Danio rerio: one gene and its partners. The protein of the gene in region 4 purifies or fractionates together with the protein of the main gene of each other region. This does not show direct contact. Links are inferred from orthologs where the notes say so. Each region holds a gene or a part of one and is shown on either strand. Other genes may lie near its edges.

Evidence for each region.
Region 1: the proteins of rbm8a (region 4) and ddx39b purify together in Homo sapiens (co-immunoprecipitation; 4 studies listed by BioGRID and IntAct, with this or other methods). This does not show direct contact. The link is inferred for Danio rerio from reciprocal best matches to the Homo sapiens genes RBM8A and DDX39B.
Region 2: the proteins of rbm8a (region 4) and upf2 purify together in Homo sapiens (co-immunoprecipitation; 6 studies listed by BioGRID and IntAct, with this or other methods). This does not show direct contact. The link is inferred for Danio rerio from reciprocal best matches to the Homo sapiens genes RBM8A and UPF2.
Region 3: the proteins of rbm8a (region 4) and upf3a purify together in Homo sapiens (co-immunoprecipitation; 4 studies listed by BioGRID and IntAct, with this or other methods). This does not show direct contact. The link is inferred for Danio rerio from reciprocal best matches to the Homo sapiens genes RBM8A and UPF3A.
Region 5: the proteins of rbm8a (region 4) and ncbp3 purify together in Homo sapiens (co-immunoprecipitation; 3 studies listed by BioGRID and IntAct, with this or other methods). This does not show direct contact. The link is inferred for Danio rerio from reciprocal best matches to the Homo sapiens genes RBM8A and NCBP3.

What each region holds. Positions count from the first base shown.
Region 1 is NC_133194.1:29,769,014-29,774,263, reverse strand, and holds part of ddx39b (DEAD (Asp-Glu-Ala-Asp) box polypeptide 39B), read right to left. Parts: intron 3,381-5,250; coding exon 3,271-3,380; intron 3,178-3,270; coding exon 3,033-3,177; intron 2,924-3,032; coding exon 2,776-2,923; intron 298-2,775; coding exon 281-297; 3' UTR 1-280. UniProt on the Homo sapiens protein: Involved in nuclear export of spliced and unspliced mRNA. Component of the TREX complex which is thought to couple mRNA transcription, processing and nuclear export, and specifically associates with spliced mRNA and not with unspliced pre-mRNA.
Region 2 is NC_133179.1:1,380,170-1,385,419, forward strand, and holds part of upf2 (regulator of nonsense transcripts 2), read right to left. Parts: intron 3,959-5,250; coding exon 3,593-3,958; intron 3,387-3,592; coding exon 2,607-3,386; intron 268-2,606; coding exon 107-267; intron 1-106. UniProt on the Homo sapiens protein: Involved in nonsense-mediated decay (NMD) of mRNAs containing premature stop codons by associating with the nuclear exon junction complex (EJC).
Region 3 is NC_133184.1:36,596,693-36,601,942, forward strand, and holds part of upf3a (regulator of nonsense transcripts 3A), read right to left. Parts: intron 4,255-5,250; coding exon 4,199-4,254; intron 4,122-4,198; coding exon 3,963-4,121; intron 3,850-3,962; coding exon 3,716-3,849; intron 1,803-3,715; coding exon 1,514-1,802; intron 1,203-1,513; coding exon 1,125-1,202; exon of another isoform or gene 1-1,124. UniProt on the Homo sapiens protein: Involved in nonsense-mediated decay (NMD) of mRNAs containing premature stop codons by associating with the nuclear exon junction complex (EJC) and serving as link between the EJC core and NMD machinery.
Region 4 is NC_133191.1:50,392,997-50,397,419, reverse strand, and holds part of rbm8a (RNA-binding protein 8A), read right to left. Parts: intron 2,348-4,423; coding exon 2,211-2,347; intron 1-2,210.
Region 5 is NC_133196.1:33,669,503-33,674,752, forward strand, and holds part of ncbp3 (nuclear cap-binding protein subunit 3), read right to left. Parts: intron 3,928-5,250; coding exon 3,802-3,927; intron 3,661-3,801; coding exon 3,529-3,660; intron 2,953-3,528; coding exon 2,804-2,952; exon of another isoform or gene 1,352-2,803; intron 1,304-1,351; exon of another isoform or gene 692-1,303; coding exon 586-691; intron 464-585; coding exon 364-463; intron 1-363. UniProt on the Homo sapiens protein: Associates with NCBP1/CBP80 to form an alternative cap-binding complex (CBC) which plays a key role in mRNA export. NCBP3 serves as adapter protein linking the capped RNAs (m7GpppG-capped RNA) to NCBP1/CBP80.

The DNA.
Region 1 (5,250 bases), on a different chromosome or scaffold from region 4:
ATTAAAAACAAAGTAAAAACAAACATCCCAAACACAAAATAATTCATATCGAAAGGAAAAAAAGTCATAAAAAACAAAATATTGCATTTATTAACTTTCAATAAGCAAAAACGAAACCAAGAAGGCGTCAGGAAACCACCACAATACTGGATAACGCAGCGATGTGAGCCATAGAAGTATTCACTAACACTGGAACAGTGAAATACAAACTCAATTGCTATCAAATGCTACAATCCCATGCATCCTTCTGAAGAAACTCCTGCATTTAGTGTTGTCATCTTTATCGTGTTTGTTCAACTAGGAGAAAACAAGGAGAAAAACAAATAAGTGAATGCACAAATTCAGATTAAATAATAACTGTTTTGACAGAAAACATTTTATAGAACAATGAAAATATGAAAAGAACCAAAACAACAATGGTGGACTGCAGGACTGTGTTTGTGTGTGTCAAGATTAGTGTTGTCACGATACTGGAATTTCGGTACTGAAAATGTAAAAACGTTTAAGCGCCTTTATGTAAACAGAAATGACTTTGATTGGCTGTGAAGGTTATTAGTTCACCACTGTCTGAGTGCAAAGACAGATACTAGGACACTGGAGCATTTTAAAGCCGCAAAAATCAGTCGATACATCAGTGGATCGCCTGTATGTCAGCTCATACAGACCAGCTAATCTTTGCAGCTTTAAAGGATCATGAAACACCAAAACACATTTTTTAAGGTGTATACAGTCATACATATGTGTGTCCCATGCTGCTAAAAACACTATTAAGACACACATATTTCACAAAAATAATTGAAAATTGGTTGTTTTTGCGTTATTTTGAACAAATTTGTTCTTCTGGTTTAAAAAGAAATTTTTAAGCAGTCATGGCTATGAGATCCATGTGTAAATTCCAGCGTGGAGACTGGATGTCTGTACCGGCTGGTACAACGTGACGTCTTTGAGCTTTCATCATTAATTCATGAGAAAGACCTGGTTCAAACCAATCAGCACACTCTATTTTGTATGAGGTGCAACTTTATTATTATGCATGATGTAGCTTTGAAGACTCTTTTTACCTGTTAAAGTGTTTAGACGCAGAGAGACGCCACGTTGCCAACCGTGAAAAAAACAAGTGGAAGAAGAAGAATTGTTCGAAGACATGGATTGTCAGTGTTGCGTTTATAAATGTGCCGCAACGAAGGTTTTGTTTTCAATTAACCGCAAGAGAGCACAGCTCGTGTGTGGATTACAGTGGTCTGCTAACATGCAACAAAAATATGTTTGCAAGGAACATTTGTCCCGGAGAGCTTTTCGCATCTGGAAAGTGAAATCTGGATTTGCCACTCCACTTCTTTTAAAAAAAGACGCGGCTCCAGTTTGTGTTGATTCTCCTGTCTCTGCAGATTTGGTAAGTGTGTGATCAGTGTTCTTTGTTTATGTTTATTTAGAGGCAAAGTCAGTTTGTATCGTCAGCAGTAGTCAAAATGTTTTAGTTACTAATTTAACAGTATGTTAATATCACTACAATATTATGGACTGAAAGATTAAAACTAAAGATCAAAATGTCATATTGACAAATCTGCAGTGTTTAAAAATGCGCTCAACAGGGCTTATAAATTAGCAGAAAATAGACGTTTTTTAAGAGCCCATATTATGGGTTTTTGAAAATTGCCTTCCATGTAGTGTGTAACAGCTCTAAGTGAAGTGAAATATTCAATTAAGGCTTAAATCTGTAAGTGTACAGTGTTTAAAACTGTTAATTAAGCTATAATAGAGTCGACTCATAGTGGTTTAAATGAGTTGTCTTGATAACGAGTCATTAGGTGTTTCGCGATGACGCATCTACAAAACACAAATAGTTGCACGCGCAAACCCGGGAGATTTTAAACCTGCGGTCCCGCCCTCTAAAGCCACACACACACACACACACGCGCACGCACGCCGGTCAATTGAAGTCACTCTGCGCAGATGGATATTATTGACAGTCTCTACCCAAAGATGAAACCTCAGCATTATCCCAGCCTTGTGCAGTTTGAGTGCTTCTGGAAACTACATGCTTATAAAGAAGACTTCATCGGCCGTTTGTTAAAGGAAGGATCAGTAAAGAGTACTGCTGGACTATGTCAGAACAAGGATCGGTTTCTTCCTCCATTTCACAAGTGTAAGTACCTGCGATTAAAGTTGTTGCCTTGTTTACTCTAGCCTGCAAATGTATTTATTTGTGATTTTATATTGTTGATTAGCTGCTGGGCATTTGACTCTGTCTCTCGCTGAAGGCAGTCAGTATTGATTAATCGCAGCAGGCTGTCATCGGTCCAATCAGCCCAGATTAGCTTCGCGCTAAGGAGGGGTTTGGGAACAAATGAATCACTGAACGATTCATATGGGAGTCACTGGGATAATTAGATAAAAATAAATGCAGATTATAAGTCCATTAAAGTGTTTTTTGACCTTGCATGCATACTAGATTGTTGTTGGAGACCCTTACAACCAAAATATGACCATATTTCATGTATAATAGGGGCTCTTTAAATTTCAGTAAAGACTGATACCAAAATTGCAGTATCATGACAACACTAGTCAAGATACTGACCAAGTACTGCAGACCTCAATAATACAGATCATCTGTAACCCAAACACTTTTCAAAAATCAAATGAAATGCTTTCGTTTTTAGTCCATTGTTATGTAGTTCGTATGTGGAGAACTGAATTATTTATCGATTTGATTTCCTATATAGAAATGTTCTCATCTTGTTCTGTACATTTTAAAGTTTGAATGTTAACACTCACTGTATGATGAGATGTCAATCTCCTCTGGAAGTTCACTGATGTTCACCTCAAACCTGTCCTGAACGTCATTCAAAGTGCGGGCATCATTTTCATCGGACACAAAGGTGATGGCCAGACCTTTTGTTCCGAATCTGCCAGCCCGTGCAACCTGAAGAACGAGAAAAGTTGGAGTAGTTCAGGTGAATCCACTACCAGCCAGTTTAATAACGCTTTTGGACAGTGTCACAGTAAAACAGTATCACGTGATCAGCACCAACCCTGTGCAGGTACGTGTCAGAGTCTTCAGGCATGTCGTAGTTAAAGGCAATGTTGACTCTTTCGATGTCCATACCTCGGCCAAACAGATTAGTGGCTACCAGGATCCTTCTCTGGAAATCTTTAAATTGCTGATATCGAGCTAGTCTTGGGGGGAAAAAAATAAGAATAAAATATGATACAAGCTCCCTAAAATCTATAAATATTAACTCTAAAATGAATTGAAATAGTTTTTTCTACCTTTCGTCTTGGGGCATTGCTCTATGAATGGCAATGGCAGGGAAATTTTGCTCCACCAGCAACTGAGCGAGAGCAATACAACGCTGCACCGACTTCACAAAGATCACCACCTGCAATACTAAGCAGCTGTAACACGGTGCCAGCCAATTCTCATCACTAAAATAATTCTTAATCCAAACAAGATCCAAAAATCAGCTATAGCTCCTGGCTGGCTCGCCAAAGATTTTTTGGGTCATTGACAACAACCAGCAGTCCAAACAACCATCGAAACATTATTATTTTTTGATACTGAATACAACTGAAAAACATTGATCAAATAAATGCTTGGTAAGTCTGAATTACTTAAAAAACATTTAAAAGAACTCTTACAGAAATCAATCTACATGTCACATGTTTGGTACTTTAGCCTAAGGTTGTATAAATTCAATCAAATCATATTTAAGCAAAACATTATTTCAAGACTAAAGATTGTAAATTCCAGATTGCTGTGTTTTTAAACCCTACTGCATTTTAGACCATACCACATGGGTTGCATGTAAGCTGCATAAATAAAATCTGTATTCAAATAGATCAAACTGTATTTTGCAGTAAAGCCTGTGAATGACCACAGTGCATTTCCCTTTCAGATATCCAAATGTATCTTAGAAAGGGCAAACTGTTGCAAATTATCCTAGTCTCTTTCTTGAGTCACTCTTTGGTCCCATTGAAACATGCTGTTAAGGCTCTGTATTAGACACCTGGTATTAAGAATCGTTTTTGTTGGTCCAATTACAAGAGGACAACACTAAATACAGGTGTAAAGGGGGTCTGAAGGTTTTGAGCTTGTCCACTTTCAACCACATTAAGAGGTGGCCAAAAAAGCATTTGATTGCATTTGTATTGTGTGAGCGCTCATGTAGTTGAACAGCCTCTAAACACTGCCCTCTGTCCGCTCAATGGCCGGACACGTCAGCTTTGTGTGAAACGGAAAGCAACTGCTCTCCTCGTTTTTCTCAATTATCTTATTATCTGATGATGTCTTAAGGCTGATATGTACTTCTGTGCCAAGCGCACGTGTATACTCCAGCCACCTCTCAAAAATTTTCCAACAATGCGTAGCGCAAACTTTGTGATTGGTTGGCTTGGTAGCTGTGCTGAGTGTGGGCTGGTTCAAGAGCTGCGCAAACCCGTTGAAGTGAGTGTTTACAAGTGTCGAGTCCTGTGAAGGAGCTTCAAATGGAAACTTTTGTTTTGTGTTTACCCTATACATAATGTTGCTGCACATGCGCCGGTTACCACTTCTGAACGAGCGAGTTTTAGCTACTTGTACATTAAGGTAGAATTAAAAAAAATATGGAACACTAGCAAAGAAATACAACACAGAAGCACATAAAAACCTATTGCCAGCTAGCGCTTTGGAAGTGTTATTGCAATAAAACACAAACAGTTCGCAGAAGTATAAATGCACGACTATACGCAAGGCAGGCACCGTGGGTCACACCAAATTCTCGACACAGAAGTATAAAACAGCCTTTAGTTGCACGAGCATTTCATCCACTCAAAATAAAAAAAAAAAACTAAACATGCACATTGTTTTGTGCAGCATCTTTAAGCTTAACAACAACTTTAAGAGCTAGGTTCTGATGTAATATTATTGCACACCAACAAGCATCGGGACCCACACATAATATCTCCCCTCAATAAAATCAGGACAGAAATGATCAAAAGTTGACAGAAGAGACACATTTAAATGGCAGGTCTAAACGATAATATGTCTGCTTTGTCCACTTGTGATCAGATCGACAAAAACAAATCTTAATACCAGGTGTGAACAGGGCCTAAGATGCATTGTTTTGAATCTGATCACAAACGGTTGACACTTTCGAGTAGGTGTAAATGGGGGTTAAATTATTTTAAGCTTGTCTACTTTTAAAGGTAGACAAATATGCATTTTAACAGTTTTTAAAAATAATAACTATCATTGTTTAGCAATGTGATCAT
Region 2 (5,250 bases), on a different chromosome or scaffold from region 4:
ACTTGATTTGAACTACTTAAAAGTGGACGTTTTAAAAAAAAAGCACACTTATGACTGATTTTGTGGTCTCATATGTCAACACAAACTCTCTATGGTGCGGTCGCACCTTCCTGTACGGTTTTGTCCTGGGGCAGTTCCGGCATGTTCTCGTCCAGCAGGTCGGCCAGAGTCTGAGTGTTGGCCAGCAGCTTCTGGTACTGTGTGGCGAACTCCTCGTACTGCTTGTGTCTGTCCTCGCTCAGCTCGCCTTTAGAGTGCAGGATACGTCTGGACACACACAAAACACATGTACAATTTTATAAAAGTTGTTTTTATACCTGTGTGTGCTGTTGGGTCGTTCTTTATCCACTCTGGGGTAATTTTTAAGGCTTAATTTGGCCACAATTATCTCTGTGTTTCAGCAAGTTTAATGATTTTGCTGATAAATTGTATTTTGACACATATTTTGGGAAAATGCTTTGGAATTATTCAAAAACTCAACAGTAGACTGGCCAAATTTACTCCCCTTTGGTTATGTTGGGGGCTGTTTTTACCCCATTGACTTCCATTATAATAAAATTTTTCGATTGCAAAGCCATGACAGTATAATCATGCATTCTTGATTGATTGTTGCTGGTTTTCCCTGTTGGAAAGACCTACAATTTGTCATTTTTATGTATTTGTCATTTTAAGTCTCAAACATTATATAACAGGGCTGCATGATATTGGAAAAAATGACATTGTGATATTTTATTTTTCTACAATAGATATTGCAATATTTAGTATAATTTCACCATATAAAATAAATAGACCTATTTGGTAGGAATTTATAATTGTAGATACATTGGGATGATTTTATAAGAGAAAGCATCTGCAAAAAATACAATAAACCAATTGCAAACATTGATAAATACAGTGAAGCAATGATACTGTACTAATGAAATGCACAGTGCTTTATGATTTTCTGAAAGTCTAGCAATCTTCAGATAGACACATTTTAAAATGTAGAATAATACTATAGTTTTAATATTTACATAAATATAATAATCTTTCATAAAGTTAGAGACATCCCTTTTTATGCCTGGATAAACTTTATAGTTAAACATTGCAATGAAATTAAATACAGCTCCTGGTCAATTATAATTAGAGATGTAACTGATTTCACTATTAACCGCAATTTAATTTGGCATGGTTAATTCATCATAAAGGCTTCTCAACAGCATGTTTATGCATGGAACAAAACTGTGACAAAACCGCGAGTCACGAGACAAGAACTGCTCTATACTTTGTAGGGATTTTACACATCCATACAAAATCCATACACATGTCAGTGGGCGCCGTCTTTCGGATGAGACGTTAAATCGAGGTCCTGACTCTCTGTGGTCATTAATAATCCCATGGCACTTCTCGGGAAAGAGCAGGGATGTAACCCCAGTGTCCTGGCCAAAGTCCTTCAATCGGCTCTTACGATCATGCCCTCCCAACCATCCCCTTCCACCAAACTGGCTCAATCACTGTCTCTCCACTCCACCAATAGCTGGTGTGTGGTGAGCGCACTGGCGCCGTTGTCCTGTGGCTGCCGTCGCATCATCCAAGTGGATGCTGGTGATGGTGTGGAGAGACCCCCCTCATGATTGTGAAGCGATTTGGGTGTATGGCCATACACAATTAATGCGCTATATAAATACACATTACATTACACAATACATAATATAGTTGATCAAAAGTGCCTTTCAGACTGAGGTTGAGGAGCCTTTGTCTACATTTGTTTACTTTAAAAGGGAAATTCTTATCTAATATGATGCTTAAATTTACATTAGACAAATACTATTTTTTATCTCTTAATTTACATATGTATTTGTTATTCTGTCATTTATTTTCAGTGTAAAATTATTACTATTGTTTAAATGCCAAAAACTTTCACTTATTTTTAGTTCCAGAGAATTATTATTTTTTTATTTATTATTTTTATTTTGTGCAGTATAAATTGGTTACTGAGCAGCAATAAATAACACTTTCAAATAGGAGTTTTCATGTGATTTACTAAATTAGTAGTGTTTTGAAATTAATGCATAATAATGATGATAATCGTGAAACCGTGATTACTCCTCAGACTATAATTGTACAACCACAATCTATAATTGTTGCATCTGTTGAAATAATAATATTATGCAGCCCTATTATATAACATTAATAATGTTTTATTCCGATTGGCTACAGAACAAACCACTGTTGTCCAATGACTTGCCTAATTAACCTAACATGCCATTAAATGCACTTTATGCTGAATACTAGACTCTGGTACAATAACTAGTTAAATATTATGTGCTGTTATTATGACAAAGAATAAATAAACTATTTATAAAATATTATAAGCTTAAAAATGTTTTACTTTTTAAACTATATTTATATTATATATCTCTTCTTTTTTTAATGCAGATTAAAATAAACATTGCCTCTCCATTAAACAGCATTCAGGAAATGTTTTTAAAAGAACATATTTTTAGACAAACATCGGCATATTAAACATTTTATAAATAAAAAAGTAATTAAATATGATATAAATATTTAATATCTTATTTGTAATGCAGATATGAAGAATGTGAACTGATCAGACAACAACAGACCTGTTCTGCCTCTCGATGTTCTGCAGCTCCCGGTGGTCTTTCTTCAGGTGTTTGGTGAGCGAGGTGAAATACTCGCGCAGCAGGTTCTGGAAGGGCTGCTGTTTCTCCGCATTGATGATCTGGCTGGGAGGGAAGGACAGGCTGTACTTCTCGGCTGCGTTTTTAACTTTGCGCGGCACCAATCCGGCGATGTCATCTCCACAGTGCTTACAGAAGCTGATAATGACGGAGACGTGAGTGTGAGTCTCTCGATCGGCAGCGATTATATTTTTCAGCTGCTCGTAGATCAGCGACAGGCCTTCTTTATCCGTGAACAGCCCTACAATGGTGAGCTCTGCGATGAAGCGCAGGTCGGTCCGCAGCTTGCTCACATTAGGCGTCTTCTCCTCTTTACGTGCCTCAAAGTGTCTCTTCCAGGCGGCGAGAAGAAGTGGTGCGAACTCTGCGTATCTCTGGTGGAAAAGCGAGCAGAGATGAACTGCACAGCCTACATCGGAGATCTTCAGCTTGGCCTCCACCATAGAGCTCACGGCCTCCCCGATGTATTTGCTGAGGTTGAGTGAGTCGAAGTCCTGCGATAAGGAGCCGCGCTGTTGTTCTGTGAGCGTGCGGAGCTTTTTGACAAAAGCAGTGTTTTTCTTGAGGCTGGAGTCCAGGCGGCTGAAGAAAGCCTCTTCTGGACGGGTCTCCTGAGCGTGCTGGTTCTTCACTCGCAGGTCTTTTCGGCCATGGTGTCGCTCCCAGGCCTCCTGCTGGAGCTGATCCGCTTCCTCCTTTTCTCTGAACACACACACACACACACACACCATTTGAAACAGGGCTGCATGTTATTTGAAAATCTGATATTGCAATATTTGATTGTTCTGCCATATATGCACAAAACACACATCAGAAACATGCATGGCCTGCAATACAGAGTTTGTAGAGATCAATTTGCGGCCATCATTGTTTTATGAAGGTAAAGATAAACACTGCAGTCCTCTCACCTGATCTGTGCGGCCTCCTCCTCCCTCTGCCGTTTGGCTTCTTCCTCCAGCAGTTTCTTCTCCTGTTCCTCCAGCTGTTTCTTCTCCTCCTCCTCCTTCTTCCTCTGCTCCTCCTCAGCTCTCTGCTTCTCCTCTTCTTTCTTCTTCCTCTCTTTCTCCTCCTTCTTCCTCTTCTCCTCCTCAGCTCGTCTCTTCTTGTCCTCCGCAGTCTTTCCTCCGTCCTTCTTGCCGCTCATCTTGTTCTCCTCTTTGTTTTTGTCTCTGGAAGCGCCGCTCGGTCGCTCTGCGTCTCTGTCCTTGCTGAACGAGCCCGTCTCTCGCTCCTCCATGTTGACGGACTTCTTGCGCTCAGCAGGCATACTGCCACTGCACAACACAAACAATAGTTCACTATGACATGGAGAATATACATTATTTTAAATATGCTTAACATCATGCCATGCTGCTTAAAAAACATTTAGCACTTTATTTATTTATTTTTTAAATATTTACTAATTGAGTTTTACCATTTACAATTTAAAGCAGTACATTTCGCCTCTCCTAGCACAACCAGGGCATTAAAAAAAAAAACATGAAAATAAAAAATATATTGTTCCAGACTTTCTGAGTTAACAGTGAGAAAACAGAGTGCACCTTATTTGTTCAGTCCATATATTATCATTTAACATGAGAGGCTTAACAACATCTAAACAAAGAAATATCCAAGAGGTGCATCTAAATACAAAAAACAAACAAACAAACAAAAAAAAAAACAGGTCATATCATCTTGAATCACAAAACCTTTCAGATATATTAAAGTTACCAGTAAGGGAACACATTAATATGTTATATTTTTAGTCAATATGTTATTTGAAATGAAGAGTTTGGTAACATTCAATAAGTACAAAATAAAAAACAACGTAGAACACTTTAAACAACTGAAATGAGTTCACATTAAATAAAATTCCGTTAATTATATTGTGCACAACATACTGTTTTGCATTGCAAGGTACATTTTACACATTTTTAAAAATCACATGTTGAAATGCAGAGTTTAATGCTGTCTTGTGCATCCATTTTTACTAAACATTTTGCACTTTAAAATAAAGTGTATTAAAATATATTGTAAACAAAACATTCAACTGTGTTTTAATTCAAAAATCTAATCTGCATTAAAATAATGCATCAAATAATGGTTTACTTGTATCAAATGCTTTGTTCAATACTGTAAAGTGTCTTTGAGTGCCTTGAATTGTGCCTATAAATAAATAGCATTAAATAAAATGCACTAATATATTTTGCAATGTAAAAACAAAAGCATGCTTTTAATATAGCTGACACTTTTACTCAAATTGTGCATTTAAAACGACTATTCTGTATACAATATACACAATTTATATATATATATAAATATATATATATATGTATGTATGTAAATATTTTGCACTTATAATTTTGAGATTCGAGTTTTGCAAAGGACAGATTGCTTATGATTTTACACTGAAAACCAGTTCACGTAGCTTTCTTTTATATTTTCATGCTAATCAACATTTCTATTTAAAAATCACACTTAAAATTACTGTGCATGTTTCATTTAGTTTTGCAATGAAAATAGTGTTTATGATACAATAAGTCACAGTGAATGTCAGTCACTGTGCATTATGGGATGTTGTATTTGT
Region 3 (5,250 bases), on a different chromosome or scaffold from region 4:
CAAACTGTTAACAGCAGGAAAGCTGTCTATACAGAGGTAAGCGTTCAGCTGGTAAGCGCGAAAAGGAATGGCATCATACCGCCTCGTAGCATTCATTTTAAAAATGAAATGCAGTCATACGTAGCTCTGGCAACATAATTTGCGATCTCCAGAAATCTTTATAAGGCTACGTTTTTAGAATGAGCCTGTCTATTATAACTTAATAAAAACTACATGTTCATGGTTTTTTTTAAATGATAGTGTCCAATTCTTAGGCAATCTAATCCTTTTTAGTTAACCTAATAAATAGGTAAACAAATTACACTAAAAATGTATTCGGTTTGATTCGATTGCATCTATTCTTGAATCAACAAGTCCTCTACATCAACATCGCTAATTAAAATCATCATAAAGGAGATTTTTGACATGTTTTACATGTTTAAACATGTTTAAGATGTTTTAAAATACATAAACACTGTAAAAAGAGTTCCACACTATCAATTTGTGTTGTAACAGTTTTTGCAAATGTAAGCGGATTAAACATAAAACAATAAAGTTTGAATAAAGTTCATTTTCTGAAGTACACATCTATTTTTCTCCTCAAATGAGGATTTTTTAGGACTTTAAATGTTTCGTTGTCTTATATGATAACACAACTGTTCTTTGTTTTAATATTGTAAAATCCTTAAACCTTATTTAAGTTTATTTCCAGTATTATATTTATTTTTTTATCCCTAAATGAGGATATTTTATATAAATTAAAATGATTATTTGTTTAATATAACATAACATAATTTTTTATAATGTTTCAAAATCCTTAAACTTTCTGTTGATCAAGTTATACATATTTTAAACTATATTTTAACTATATCTTTTTTTATAAAGCTAATACAGAATTGTAACCATTTGGAGCATTTCTACATTAAAAGCAAGGTTACATGAGATGCCTTAAAATGCTGTCTTTATAGACACACTATAGGTTTTAGAACAGAGTCATAGTTTTTAGTCATTATGTGCTTTTATCTATTGGGAACTGCTCCTTATCTGTGCCATTACAGCATTAAGTACGCCTGACACTGTAGGCATACAACATGTGTATAGCATATCCCCTCCCGTGGGTAGAAAGGCTCAAAAACTAGCTGTACCTTTGCTGGCAGAGCCCCTCCTATCTGGTCTGGCCCCTCAGACTGGGAAGTCCTTTTCTCCTGATGCACTAACACAGACTGAGAGACACGTTGTCTTTCGTCAATAATATTGCCAACAGCCAAATTACAGCTAACTACCTCAACAAATAAGTGTAGCCTGCATTGAAAGCCCCTGGAGTGAGGCAGATTGGTATTGCATTTCCCACAGAACACAATGATGAATAAATCAAGTACAGATGTGTAAATATTGAATGCATTAGTGGATCCATCTGCTACACAGACCGGACAAACTGACAGATAACTGTACATAATACCAGAACCAGAGCTGCAAATGGACTGTGGCTGTGAAATCGCTACTCTACTGCTCTGTAATAGTTTATTTGATTTACCTTATTGCGGATGCGTTCTTTCCTGCTGCCCATGTCCTCTCGGTCCTCTTTGCCCAGTTTGTCTCCAGTCTCTGGGCAGTAGGAATACCCATGGTGTTGGTCTTTCTTGGCCCTGTCCTGGCAGTAGCCTTTGCCCCATTTGGTCTCTTCCTTGCGTCGCATGAACTTGTCAAATTCGTAGTGATGCCTCTGTCGTTTACGTTCCTCATCTCGGCCACGGTGATCTTTGTCCCTCTGCCGTCGGCCGTGGCCCTCACGCTGCTCCTTGTCATTTTCCATTTGGCTCCTACTGTGGAGGGCACATTTCATGAAGTCAACACCCCGATATACAGGTGAGGTCAAAATTATTAGCCCTCATGTGTATTTATTTTATTTTTCAAATATTTAATAATGTTTAACAGAGCAAGGTATTTCTCACAGTAATTCCTATATTATTTTTTCTTCTGGAGAAAGTCTAGTTTGTTTTATTTTGGCTAGAAAAAAAGCAGATTTACAGTTTTTTGAAAGGCTAGTTAAGCCTTTAAATTGCACTTTAAGCTGAATACTAGTATCTTGAAAAATATCTAGTAAATATTATGTACTCTCATCATGGCAAAGATAAAAGAAATCAGTTATTAGAAATTAGCTATTACAACCATTATGTTTTAAAATGTGTTGAAAAGATCTGCTTTCTGTTAAACAGAAATTGGTGAAAAAATATACTGAGGGGCTTATAATTCTGACTTCAACTGTATAAAAATAGATACACAATGGTGTACCTTAAAGTAACTTAGCAGCTTAATTTATTTAAATTTTATAATGAAACTATTGTTTATTTTATTGAGAGGAATCTAAGCATTTGTGAATTCTACAAATAGCCTCTATATTCTTTGTGCAATCTTACTGACACTTAAGTAACTAACATTTTTGTCCTCTGTAAACATTTGTTTTACATTGATGGACACACAAGTGTAAAGACATTTGTTTCTTTCACAAACCTATATTTTGCATCAAAATCCCAAATTTTTCAAAAGTGCAAGGAAATGAAAGTAGCAAAAGCTTTTAATCTTCACTGTGACATTCATCTTAGAGAAACTTATCATCAAAAAAGAAATAAAGAATGGTAGAATTATCAGTCCATATATCAGTTTTTGATTTAATGGTAGCAGATATGAATCTGAGCTTGTGGTCCATTGTAAGAAGCCATAGAGTGTAATGGTGCACAAAGGTAACTTTGGCAAACATTATTGATATTTAAAAGCACCAAAACAAACATGCCATTCCTTAACAGGAACATGACACTTTTTAACATCTCCACTATCATTACTAGACACGTCGCTTACTGCTGATTGGCTGCTCGTGTATTTTGGAATTTGGACAGGTCTGTCATACATCACCAGATTGGGGTATTGAGTATTGTGAGTTTTAACATGACTGCATGGTATGGACTGTTGTAAATTAGAAAAAGCAAAAAAATGTGTAGAGTAGTAAAAATGACCAGTGCAATTGTAGGTAAAGCACAAAGACAACTAAATTAAATTTATTTAATGAGAATTAAACGGTCATTATTGAAAATTGTTCCCATTCTTTAAATATAAGATTTCAGCTCTTGCCATCAAAAAGAGATTTGAGGCAACCTCAAGTAAAGAAAAAGGTTTATCAAATGTCCTTTGTGCCACTGCCACTAAAGTTTTAAACACTGGGTTTTAAGTATTAATAGGGTTAATTGAGTTTTTAATGTGATTTATGTGATGACACTGAATGTATTTGTGTTGCCTGTTTTTCTATGATATGTGTAATATGAACGCTGATGTGGTTGTGTGGTGAAGCCAAAAATAAAATTCCACTTGTGGAAAATAGAGAAAGTAAAGTTATGACATTTCCATTGAAATTAACAAGATAAAATTAGGAAAGTATGAATAAGGGGGCAGTCCACACAAAATTAATCACCCACATAGAATGTCATCAGTTGAACACAAAAGAAAATAATTCAAACAATGTTGGAAATCTGTTACAAATATTATTTAAATTATCTTTATTTCTGGTCGAGTAAATCCATCCCTTTAAAAAGTTATTAAGAAAATGGAAAATTTCATCCCAACTTTCAACTTTTGGTTGATTTACAAATCTGAATCCTTAATTTTTAAACTCTATTTTTAACTCTTTAACTCTATTTTTAACTCATATCTTTTCAAGAAGGGGTAAGTTTTAGGAAGCTCTTACTTATCCTTTGAATCCTTTGACTTAGTGTGTCCTCCAGGCTTTTCCCATCTGTTCTTCTCCGTCTCTCCACTGTCTCCTTTATCTTTCAGTCTGTCTGAATCCACGTCATCGTCTCGGTCACACTTCTTCAAAAGCTAAAGCAGTCAACATGCAAATCTGATGTTATGACTGCGTGTGTTTGTGTGTGTTTTACAGTACTGATAAGCACAGTCGAGCAATGGGATGTAATATGGTATTAAACTCGTACCTTGATCTTTATCTCTTTCTCAGAGAGCTTTTTCTGCTTTTCTGCCTCCTTCCGCTTTTGTCTCTCCTCTTCTCTGCGTTTCCTCTTCTCCTCTTCCCTCTGCCTCTTCTTTTCCAGTTCTCTTCTTCGCCTCTCTTCTCTTTTTTCTTCTCTTATTCTCTAGAATGGAAAGGCATGGTGATGTACATACAGCACAAAACCGCAGTGTGTTATATGCAGTGATATGGTGCTCTTACCTGTTTCTCTAATTTCTTGTTTTTGATGTATTCCAGCAAGGGTGTCGTCCTTTTGGCTATGAATAAAGTCACACAGAGGTAAAAATCAAGCTCAGATTATAATCCTAAATCCTGGATAATTTCCAAGAGAGCAGCTCTATAATAAAATAGCATTCAAAAAAAAATGTAAACAATGTTAGTAATCACATATTTGGGACAAACAAAATACAAACATTCGATGACCCTTTGTTAATTAATGGGGAGTAAGTGGAAATGAGTTCTTTTAAATATTTAGTTGTGGAGATTGACTTTGTTTTCATTTGAAAAACACACAGAGAATGTTTTTAAAAAGGCTCAGCAGCAGTTGAGCTTGTTGAGAGAACTGAAAAGTTTTAATATTGAAAACGACATTTTGGGCCCTATCATACACCTGGCGCAATAAGGCGCAAGAAGTGTTTACACCAATTTGTTGCTATTTTATATTTTATTTTTTATTGCTATTAAGCTTATTCAAGACAACTTGCTTTTGTATTATGTTTTCATTATAAGTAGCATTATTTATTATAAGCATATTTATATTTGTTTTATTAAAAACAAGCTTAGATTTGCCCTCTTGTCAGGTTTTAGACCATATGGGGCATAACGTGTGTTTGGATATAACTCAGGTTTTTGACCACACTTCGTAATTATTGTTCATTTATTCGTTTGCTGGAAATTACAACTGAATTTAAATTTAGTTTTGAAACAAATCTCTGCGCTTAACAAACAAAATTAATTATGTAGGCTAATGGATGTCTGTGCATGGCCTACAACACTGTTACCTTATCCACGAAGAAAGAGAAAGAAGAAAGTGACAGTAAAGGCCGATTGGAGAAGGCTCATTCTTTATCCTCGTGCTGCAGATGCTCTGTTAAACTGTTTTCTTGTTAGTGAAGCGTTTTCATTCTTCGACTTACAAAGTCCACCATGTAAATAGCAATTTGCGCTATGGCGCAATGCATCTGACTCTTAAAGGGAATAGGAGATGAGTCTCTGATTGGTTTATTCTCAAAATACACCCACAACTCATTAAA
Region 4 (4,423 bases):
TCGATTTTCTAATTTTTATGAATAATTAATTAATTAATGACCAATTAATTATTTGTAGCCTACCGTTTAAACTACCTGACCTGCATAGTCTTTGTTTTACCGATAAACAAATCATACAGTAAATGAATAAAGGCAAGATACACACATAATTACCACCTGTCAATCACTTTTTCTGCGGGACTCGTGAATAGGCAGTGATTGTGTCGTTATAATGGCATCTGTAAAAAAAGACGCACATCCAACAGGAACTAGCCAACAGTATCTGAGGTGTTCGCTAAAATGACTAAGTACAAGTGAGTGAAAGATTGAAGCAGTCCTCTGACTGCCTGGACCTGCTGTCTCGAGCGCATGGCTGTGTATGCGTCTGTGTCTGTGTGGTCACCTGATGTGCATTGTCAGAGGTAGAGAGGAAGGAGGGCTGCTCAGAAATGCTACACGCCACTGTGGATGTCAAATCGTTGTCATTCTAAAATGCCATTTAAAAACAAAGACAGTGTAAACAGGGCCTGAGTGTGTACTTTTCGCAAGCGGATTTGCAACGGGGGCGGGCGGAGGATCGCGATGCCGGTGTTGTCTATCGGACGAAACGTACGCAATACGTACATAGCAGAGCTTGCAAAACTGTGTTTTTTTTTGACAACACGAACGTTGTCAACATAACTCACTGGAAATCCTAAATGCTTACACACCGGCGACTTCATTGAAAGAGGAGAGGGTTTAAGTTCTGTCGACGGGTCTGCTGCTTCTGCAGTTTAACAAGCACTTCAACAAGCCTGTTTTTTCCCGCTTGGCAAGCCAAGCTGATGTGACATGGGGGCGTGGCAGCCTCAACGATTCTATTTTTTGATTCGATAATCGAAATTGAGCATAAATTTCGATCGATTTCGATTAAAAATCGAAATCGTGACACCCCTACTTTTTACCCAGACTATCATTACATACACTGACTTTATTATTTTATTTATTTATTCACTTTTATTATTAACTTTATTAGGTAGACCTGTCTAACTGCTCATTAACACATATTTCTAATTAGCCAATCACACGGCAGCAACTCTCTGCATTTAGACATGTTCAAAACGATCTGCTGGAGTTCAAACCGAGCATCAGAATGAGGAAGAAAGGTGATTTAAGTGACTTTGAACATGGTTGTTGGTGTCAGACGGGCTGGTCTGAATTTTTCAGAAACTGCTGATCTACTGGAATTTTCACGCACAACCATCTCTAGGCTTTACAGAGAATGGTCTGAAAAAGATCAAATATCCAATGAGAGGCTGTTCTGTGGGCACAAATGCCTTGTTGGTGCCAGAGGAGAATGGCCATACTGGTTCCAGCTAACAGTAACTCAAATACTGTTCAATTCTCTAACACACTTTACAACCGAGGTCTGCAGAAGAGCATCTCTGAACACACAACATGTCCAACCTTGAGGTAGATGGGCTACAGCAGCAGAAGACCACACTAGGTGCCACTACTGTCAGCTAAGAACAGGAAACTGAGGCTACAATTCACAAAGACACACCAAAATTGGACGATAAAAGATTGGAAAAACGTTGCCTGGTCAGACAAGTCTCGATTTCTGCTGTGACATTCGGATAGGTAGGTCAGAATTTGGCGTCAACAACATGAAAGCATGGATCCATCCTGCATTATATCAACGAATAAGGCTGGTGGTGGTGTAATGGCGTACAGGAGATTTTCTTGGCATACTTTGGGCCCATTAGTACCAATTGAGCATCGTGTCAACGCCACAGGCTATTGTTGCTGACCATGTCCATCTTTTTATAACCACAGTATACTCATCTTCTGGGAGATACTTCTAGCAGGATAACACTTTATGTCATAAAGCGTGAATCATCTCAGACTGGTTTCTTGAACATGACAATGAGTTCATTGTACTTAAATGGCTTCCCCAGTCACCAGATCCTCAATCCAATAGAGCAACTTTGGGATGTGGTAGAACGGGAGATTTGCATCGTGTATGTGCAGCCGACATATCTGCAGCAACTGTGTGAGGCTGTCATGTAAATATGGAGCAAAATCTAAGGAATATTTATATATAAAGTACCTTGTTGAATCTATGATATGAAGGATTAAGGCAGTTCAGAAGGCAAAATGTGGTCCAACCCAGTACTAGTAAGGTGTACCTAATAAAGTGGACTGTGAGTGTATATGCTACTGAACCAAAAAAGTAAAAAAGAAAATCTTACCTTAAGGTAACCGGTTCTCCTGTCCAAATTTAAATGCAAGTTCTTGATTTCTCCAAACTCTGCAAACTTGTCGTGGACATCCTCCTCTGTTGCCTCCTCGTGAACACCGGTCACAAACAGAATCCATCCTTCAACAGCTGAAATCACATCAAAACAAGTTACAATTGTTCAAATGCTTTACAATATCTTTTCCAGTAAACTAACAAATTTTCTTCTATCACTAAGGCAAGACAGAATCTGACAGAATATTTTTTTTAAGCTAAGGGCTGAAAACAAAAATAATTGTTTTTGTACAAAAGCGCAACAATGCAGATCAAATCCACAGTGGGTCTCTCTTACAGCACATCAACTGAAAGTTATAAAGACCTTATCTAAAATGTGCACAACATATTGATGGAACCATTACTAATGTTTTGGCAGTCTATAGTAAACTACTTACTAAAGTTATTTTTTCCCATGCCCGACTAATTAATACAGTATGAAAAATATGCAGGTCTCATCTGGTTCTGTGGCATTGTTTACATTCTGCTCTCCAACATGGCCGACTAATGACATGTTGTATGTATGCTCATATATAGTATGAGCATATGCAATACTAGATCCTTCTTGTTGAAGCCATGTCATGTTGTATACTTCCAATCAATGACAATCATACTGCAAATAAAAATGCCAACGCAGGGTTCAGAATGCTACAGTGTGAAATGTAAAGCAAGGCGTATGAGAACCCAGGATTATTTGTAAACCCAAAGTATATTCAATGTAATGTGAAGGGATAACATTCATTTATAAACAGTAGATTCAAAGACACTTTAAAGTACTATTATTTTAAAATCAAGCACATTTGTAATTTACACTGCCAGCATATGTAGCACCACAAAAGTCCTTACTGTACTAATTCACTTACACTTAATGCTTACATTAAAATAACAGTGTGATGACAAAGTTTTAATTGTGTCATTTAAAAAAAAAAAGTACTTGTTAAATTAAAAACAGCTGTTGATATGTAACTGTGTTTTCTGAAATATGGATGTTCATTTCAGTTAATTTTGCCATCCGCCGCTTGTTAACTGAATAGTAACGGTTAACTGGTCAGATTAATATTAAACTATGTAATCAAAAAAATGATGTGTCTATTTTGTGTCCGACACATTAAATATAGCATTTTAAAATACTAATTTATTTTAACATGTGAACAACAGCATACAGAACATCAGCACATCTTCAAGCACCTGCAGCATTTCCAACGGCTAGGAAAAACAGAATAAACTAAATAAAAAGAATCAAAAAATATTCCTGCCCTAGATATCTTTCACTTAAATGACAAGTTTAGAATACAAAATGAAAACACTGACTGAATCCTTTTTAAGAACCGGCAGATGTTGTTTGTCCAATCACGTTTTTTCTTCCGTTAAATAAAAATAGCAGGCTACCTAAAATAGATCGCTCCACAGAAAATATGCATCGGAACTCGACAACTGAAACTCTGCTTTTATTTGATTGGGAAAAAAAAAAAAAAACACGAAACTGACATAACATGCCTTTTCTGCTCAGAGTTGACCTTTTTCAACAGCGAGTACACAGCACACAACAGCTAAAATGTGAGGCGTGCAAGGCTCCGCAAAACGCTCAAGGCCCATTAGAAAACCATTCAAAAGATGCCGCTCTTAACACAAAAAGCGTGTTTGCTGTGATTGACTCCTTATGCAGCCAAACTTTTTAAATACATGCAATATTGTTTATCAGTTAAAAACACACCCTTTCGGTTAACGATTAATAAGAGTATCCCTATTCTGAAATGCTTATCTCTTAAATATTTAGCAAATTCTCATTGCTTTTTCATTCTATATTTGACAGCAGCACAACTGCTGAAATGACCCCATAGACTAATTTAATTCAAGCACTTCCAAGGATTAGTGTTAGTTTTGAAGAATTTTCCAGTCCTTGAATTTGTATGTCTGAAATTCAAGAAGAGTGGGAACCCTGAATATAAAGCATGAGGCAAGACAATAAAGTATTTATTTTGACATCATTTTAACTAATAACAAGCCCAAGTAGATTATACATATGCTGTGTGTCATTTGGATGCAGACTTCAAAGGTGAGTCCTCACAGGCCAAACAGAGCATTCTGAACTGAGATGATCTAGCCTACAAAGGACAGATCTCATCACCTAGAATTTATAATAAAATTTGAAATGACTTTTTTTTTATTGAT
Region 5 (5,250 bases), on a different chromosome or scaffold from region 4:
GGTGAACAGCAGTGAAGGCTGGTGAAGCGATCACCTTAACAGCCAATCACAGTCATTCCTGTTCAGCACCAGAACACAATGGCCAACCAGCATTGCATAAGAACAGCACTTAAATGTTAGCGGGAAATGGTTGTTTTAAAAATTTCAGAACCGATTGGTCCTGAACTCGATACTTTTGACAACCTTATTTTGAAGCACTCATCTATGCATGTCGTACACAACAAAATGGCATTGCTTACTAATACTGGCAGGAAAAAAAAATACTATCGTGAACATTTAGTCATCTTTTGGAATCTTGTCCTAGCGGTGTTTGTTAGCAGGTGCCACATGTTATTCCACCAAAAGTATCAAAGTTTTTCTTACCAAGAGTTACTCAAGATGCCTTTCATGCCACCATAGTTTGGATTCCCATATTTCATGTAGTATCGACTTCTTCTGGCTGCACCCAACTCCTTTTTGTCATCTGATGGAAAATGAGTGTCAACATGCAAATATCGTTTTGTGTACAGTCTGTTCTATATCAAGCAATGAAGAGTTCTTGACACAATTCTAATTGTAGGCGACACACTCAAGTCTGTTTCTCACCATGGGTGGCAAAGCGCAAGAAGAGCTTGTTGCCTTTGAAGGGTTTGACTGTGGGTCGTGGTTCATTTTGAAGGAGAGAATCTCGCTCTGCTTGAGACAGGCTAGTCTAGAATGAAAATAAATAAATAAATCAATATAAAGTATGCAAGGTAAGGGAACCTATTTTCACATTCAGGAAAGGTAACACATATGGGATGTCAAAATGAAGTGTTTCTTCGGTGAACCGCGATGCAGATAGGGACAATTCGATATTGGTTCAGTAATAGATCATAACCGGTTATTACGTACTGACGTCATTTATCTCCTATGCGGGATGTCGCAGTAAAATACTTTGGCGAAGGAGGCAAGTGCGAGTAAATAAAACAGTCCTACTACTTAAAAGGTAGATAATTATGCACATTTCAACTGCTTATGAGTTTGCTGGACAGTCTTATATTGACACTGAAGAAGGCAGAGCACACGAGCCATGTTTTCACTGCTAGGGAGAAATGCTGTAAAAATCCATCTCTGCCTCTCTCTCACTTTGGACATTTGACCCGCTGGCGTGTTTGTGAGGTAACTTTTCCTCTCCTCTTGGCTGTTAAAGCGACACTTGTGGATCCAGACACGAGCGTGCCTTGACTTTTTTCCACTGTGTCTGTTATGGATTACCTGTGATAACTGCGTATTATGCACATATAGACTGTAATCGCTGCTGTTGCTCCCGTGTCACTCATCGGTATATATATATATATATATATATATATATATATATATATATATATATATATATATATATATATTCATTCATTCATTTTTTTGTCGGCTTAGTCCCTCTATTAAACTGGAGTCGCCACAACAGACCGACAACTAATCCAGCAAGTTTTTACGCAGCCGATGCCATTCCAGCCGCAACCCATCCCTGGGAAACATCCACACACTCATACGCTACAGACAATTTAGCCTACCCAATTCACCTGTACCTCATGTCTTTGGACTGTGGGGCAAACCGGAGCCCCCGGAGGAAACCCACGCGAACGCAGGGAGAACACGCAAACTCACACCTCTAGTAACATGTTCAATCCATTTATTGAACTCACTAAAGAGCCTTATATATACAATTTCAGTTACTATGCGCATGAAAGTTTTAAGCCTAAGCCAAAACTTCAAGATGCGCTTGGCCGAAAATGGTTTAGGCAATAATCTTTTATTATTTTATTCATTAATATTAAAGTTAATTTACAAGACTGTAAATTTAACTCATTAACTTAAAATATACAGATTACAACAGCAATAAAAACAGTCCACACATCATGCGGGCCATTGTTTTCATAATGCAGTGCTTTCAGCGTCAAATGACTATGACTTGAACGGAGAGTGAAACAGTATATGTTGCAGTGCGAGGCAACTAGTGATGCGCAGATGGAGGTTATATCCACGGACGTTGTGGATAATCTGTGGGTCAAGTAATAAAAAAATACATTATGATTAATTGCAGGTGGATGAGTTTAATAATTAATGATTTTTGCTTTGTATTTTTACACATTCTGTAAAATATAAATGTGTTATCAGACCCTGATTTGCAGGCTAATTTAAAATGGTGGAGGTCCTTTTGTTAAAGTAGAAATGGAGGCAAAACCAATCTGAGAGAAACAAAAGGAAGGAAAGAAAAATGCAATGGGGGAGTATTTAAGCAAAGTGGTTAATGAGGATGAATCATATATAATATGCAACGGCTGTGACGTGCTTTATGTATATGAAAGCCACAAGAAGGTACCTCAAATATAAAACGTGTGTGCTAAATCAAAAGGTCGGTCAACTCAAAGTCAGACAAGCACTGTAAGTTCTTATATTCGTCAGAACAGCAATAAATAGCACTGGAAGTTAGGTCTAGTCTCGTGGATGCATGTGTGTTAATAACGAACAATCCACGCTGATATATCAGATAAAATGATATGTGCAGGTGGCTGGCAGGTGGATGATTATTATACGAAGGAAAATGAATGAATGAATGAATGAACTATTTTGTCATATACACACCCTCATGTTACTTCAAACTAACCTACTGTTTTGCATGGACCGTGGAGGTCAAAAGTAGATGTTTTAAAGAATGTTCACACTGCTCCTTTCCATATAACAAATACAGGTTTTTGCACTATAATGGTTCATGACACATTTTTAATCTTAGGGAAAAAAATAAATGGAAACAATGCTCTAAATGATAAAACTAAAACTTTACCTCTCTGGTTTCTTGTGGTTTCTTTTCAGTCTCATCTTCAATGTCACGAGCCTTCTCATCTTCCTCATCATCATCATCGTCATCATCTACCTCACCTTCCTCTTCCTCATCATCGTCATCATCATCATCAGACCCACGGCTTCGTCGAGCTGCTCAGAAAAGACATGACAGTTTTGTTTCAACTTTAAATGTCTCATTTGAGATGTGCTTTTTTTATTGGATGTTTGATGTAATCTCAACCGAAACACAAAGAGAGGGTGGGACATTATAAAGCTCCTCCCCCTTTTTTAAAAACAGACAACAGTGTTTTGTTTTCATCACCACTCTGCTCCAGCGAGAGTGATTGAGCTCAAGTGCAACAAATGAAAAGAAAATGAAAATCAGCTTAAAGGGGGCGGAGTTTGTCAAATACTAAAGAGCATTTAATTGGATATGATTTGACAAGAAGCTGTAGTATGCGGTGACCTGAATAAAACCATTGCTCCATTTAGGTGGAAGAGACAAACTACAAGCTTTACATGTTTATATCAGTTTTACATCTTTTAAACACAAATTTTGTTACTTTTTTGGAACACACTAGCTTATAGATATCTTAAAAACCAACAATACTGACACTAACATCTACAAAACTGTATTTTAATTTTATGGGACCTTTAAAACACAATTTTTGTTTCGGATTTGGAGTGTTTATTTCAAGGTGACACAATGAAGCAAATAATAAGAACCTTTCTGCGTCTGGACAGGAAGTTCAGAGGGTTTCGAGCTGTCTGTGTTTGTGACCTCTTCTTTATCTGGCATCCGACTCAAGTTAATGAGAGCTCTGGTGGAAGTGATGTCGTCGAGCCACACCACGTTGCCTGGGAACAGTGAGATTTGACTATGAACACCACAATCGAGCTTTAAACAAAACTAGGCCTATTTCCCATTCAGATTTGTAGCCATTCATCAAGTATAATTTTGTCACTTTGTGGTAATAATATCTGTGAGGGTGTACTTACAGGAAGCGTCATCTATCCACTCGATGTGTGCAGGCGGATACTCTTTAAAGTAGCCAAAAACATCCTGAGTGCTCATGTCATCGACTCCACTCATGTGTAGAGCTTCCAGACGCACTTTCGGGATCACTAAAGAGAGAGAAAACACAGTCTGTAAGAGCGGGAGAGATGCGAAATCAAAATATGAACTAGGGTGATGTCATTTTTAAACAAAATCTTCCAAAAACGAGGTCCATTTATAAGATTTTATAGGTGGCACGGTGGCTCAGTGGTTAGCACTGTCCCCTAACAGCAAGAAGGTCGCTGGTTTGAGTCCCAGCTGGGCCAGTTGACATTTCTGTGTGGAGTTTGCATGTTCTCCCCGTGTTCACGTGGGTTTCCTCCGGGTGTTCTGGTTTCCCCCACAGTCCAAATACATGTGGTACAGGGGAACTAAATCAACTAAATTGTCTGTAGTGTATGAGTGTAAATGTAAGCGTGTATGGGTGTTTCCCAGTACTGGCTTGCGGCTGGAAGGGCATCCACTGTGTAAAACATATGCCGGTGTAGTTGGCAGTTCATTCTCCAGTGGTAACCTCTAAATATGAGACTAAGCCAAAGGGAAATAAATGAATGATCATGTTGTTTTAAACTAACCTACTGTCTTGCATTAACCGTGGAATTCAAAAGTAGATGTTTTAAAGAATGATCACACTGCTCCTTTCCATTTTACAGAAATACAGAGTTTTGAACTATATTCTATAAGTGTGCAACAGATCACAGTAGATCCATGTATGGATCGCAACCCATTGTTCAGCATGCAGATTAGCTACAGATTAATAACTTTTTATTTAATTTAAATTTAAATATTTAACAACTGCACAGAAAATAACGGTATGTTCTGCTAATTATGCTCAGCGTAAGTCAGTGTTTATCAACCAAACTCCTAAAGGACCACCAGCATTGCATCCTTTGTCTGTTACACCATTTCAGATCCTTCAGTCTCTGCTAATAGGCCGATGATCAGAATCAGGCGTGTTTGGTTAAGGAGACATTGAAAATTTGGAGAGATGGTGGTCATCCAGGAACATGGTTAAGAAACACAGAAGTTGAAGTTTACAGGAATGGGAGAGAATATCTCAAAGCCTCTTTCCGTGCTAAAAATCTCATGTATTGGAGTATTTTTGCTATTTTGTAGAATTAAATGATGGTGGAAGAAGGGTGGTGGACACAGCTGGTACACTGTGTGAGACACTAGGTTCTAGAATCCTTTTAAGTAGGCTTTGTCTCAATAGTATCTGTCTGTGGACTGCAAGACGGGCATAACTTGTGGTAAGATAGAGGCGTAACCTGCAGTTATCGAGATTCCATTGAACCATGCGAGATGTCACAATGAGATGTTGTTGGCAAGATGGTGGAAATATTTACCAGAGAACATTTACACCAAATGTTTTCATAAGTTTTCTTCAAATT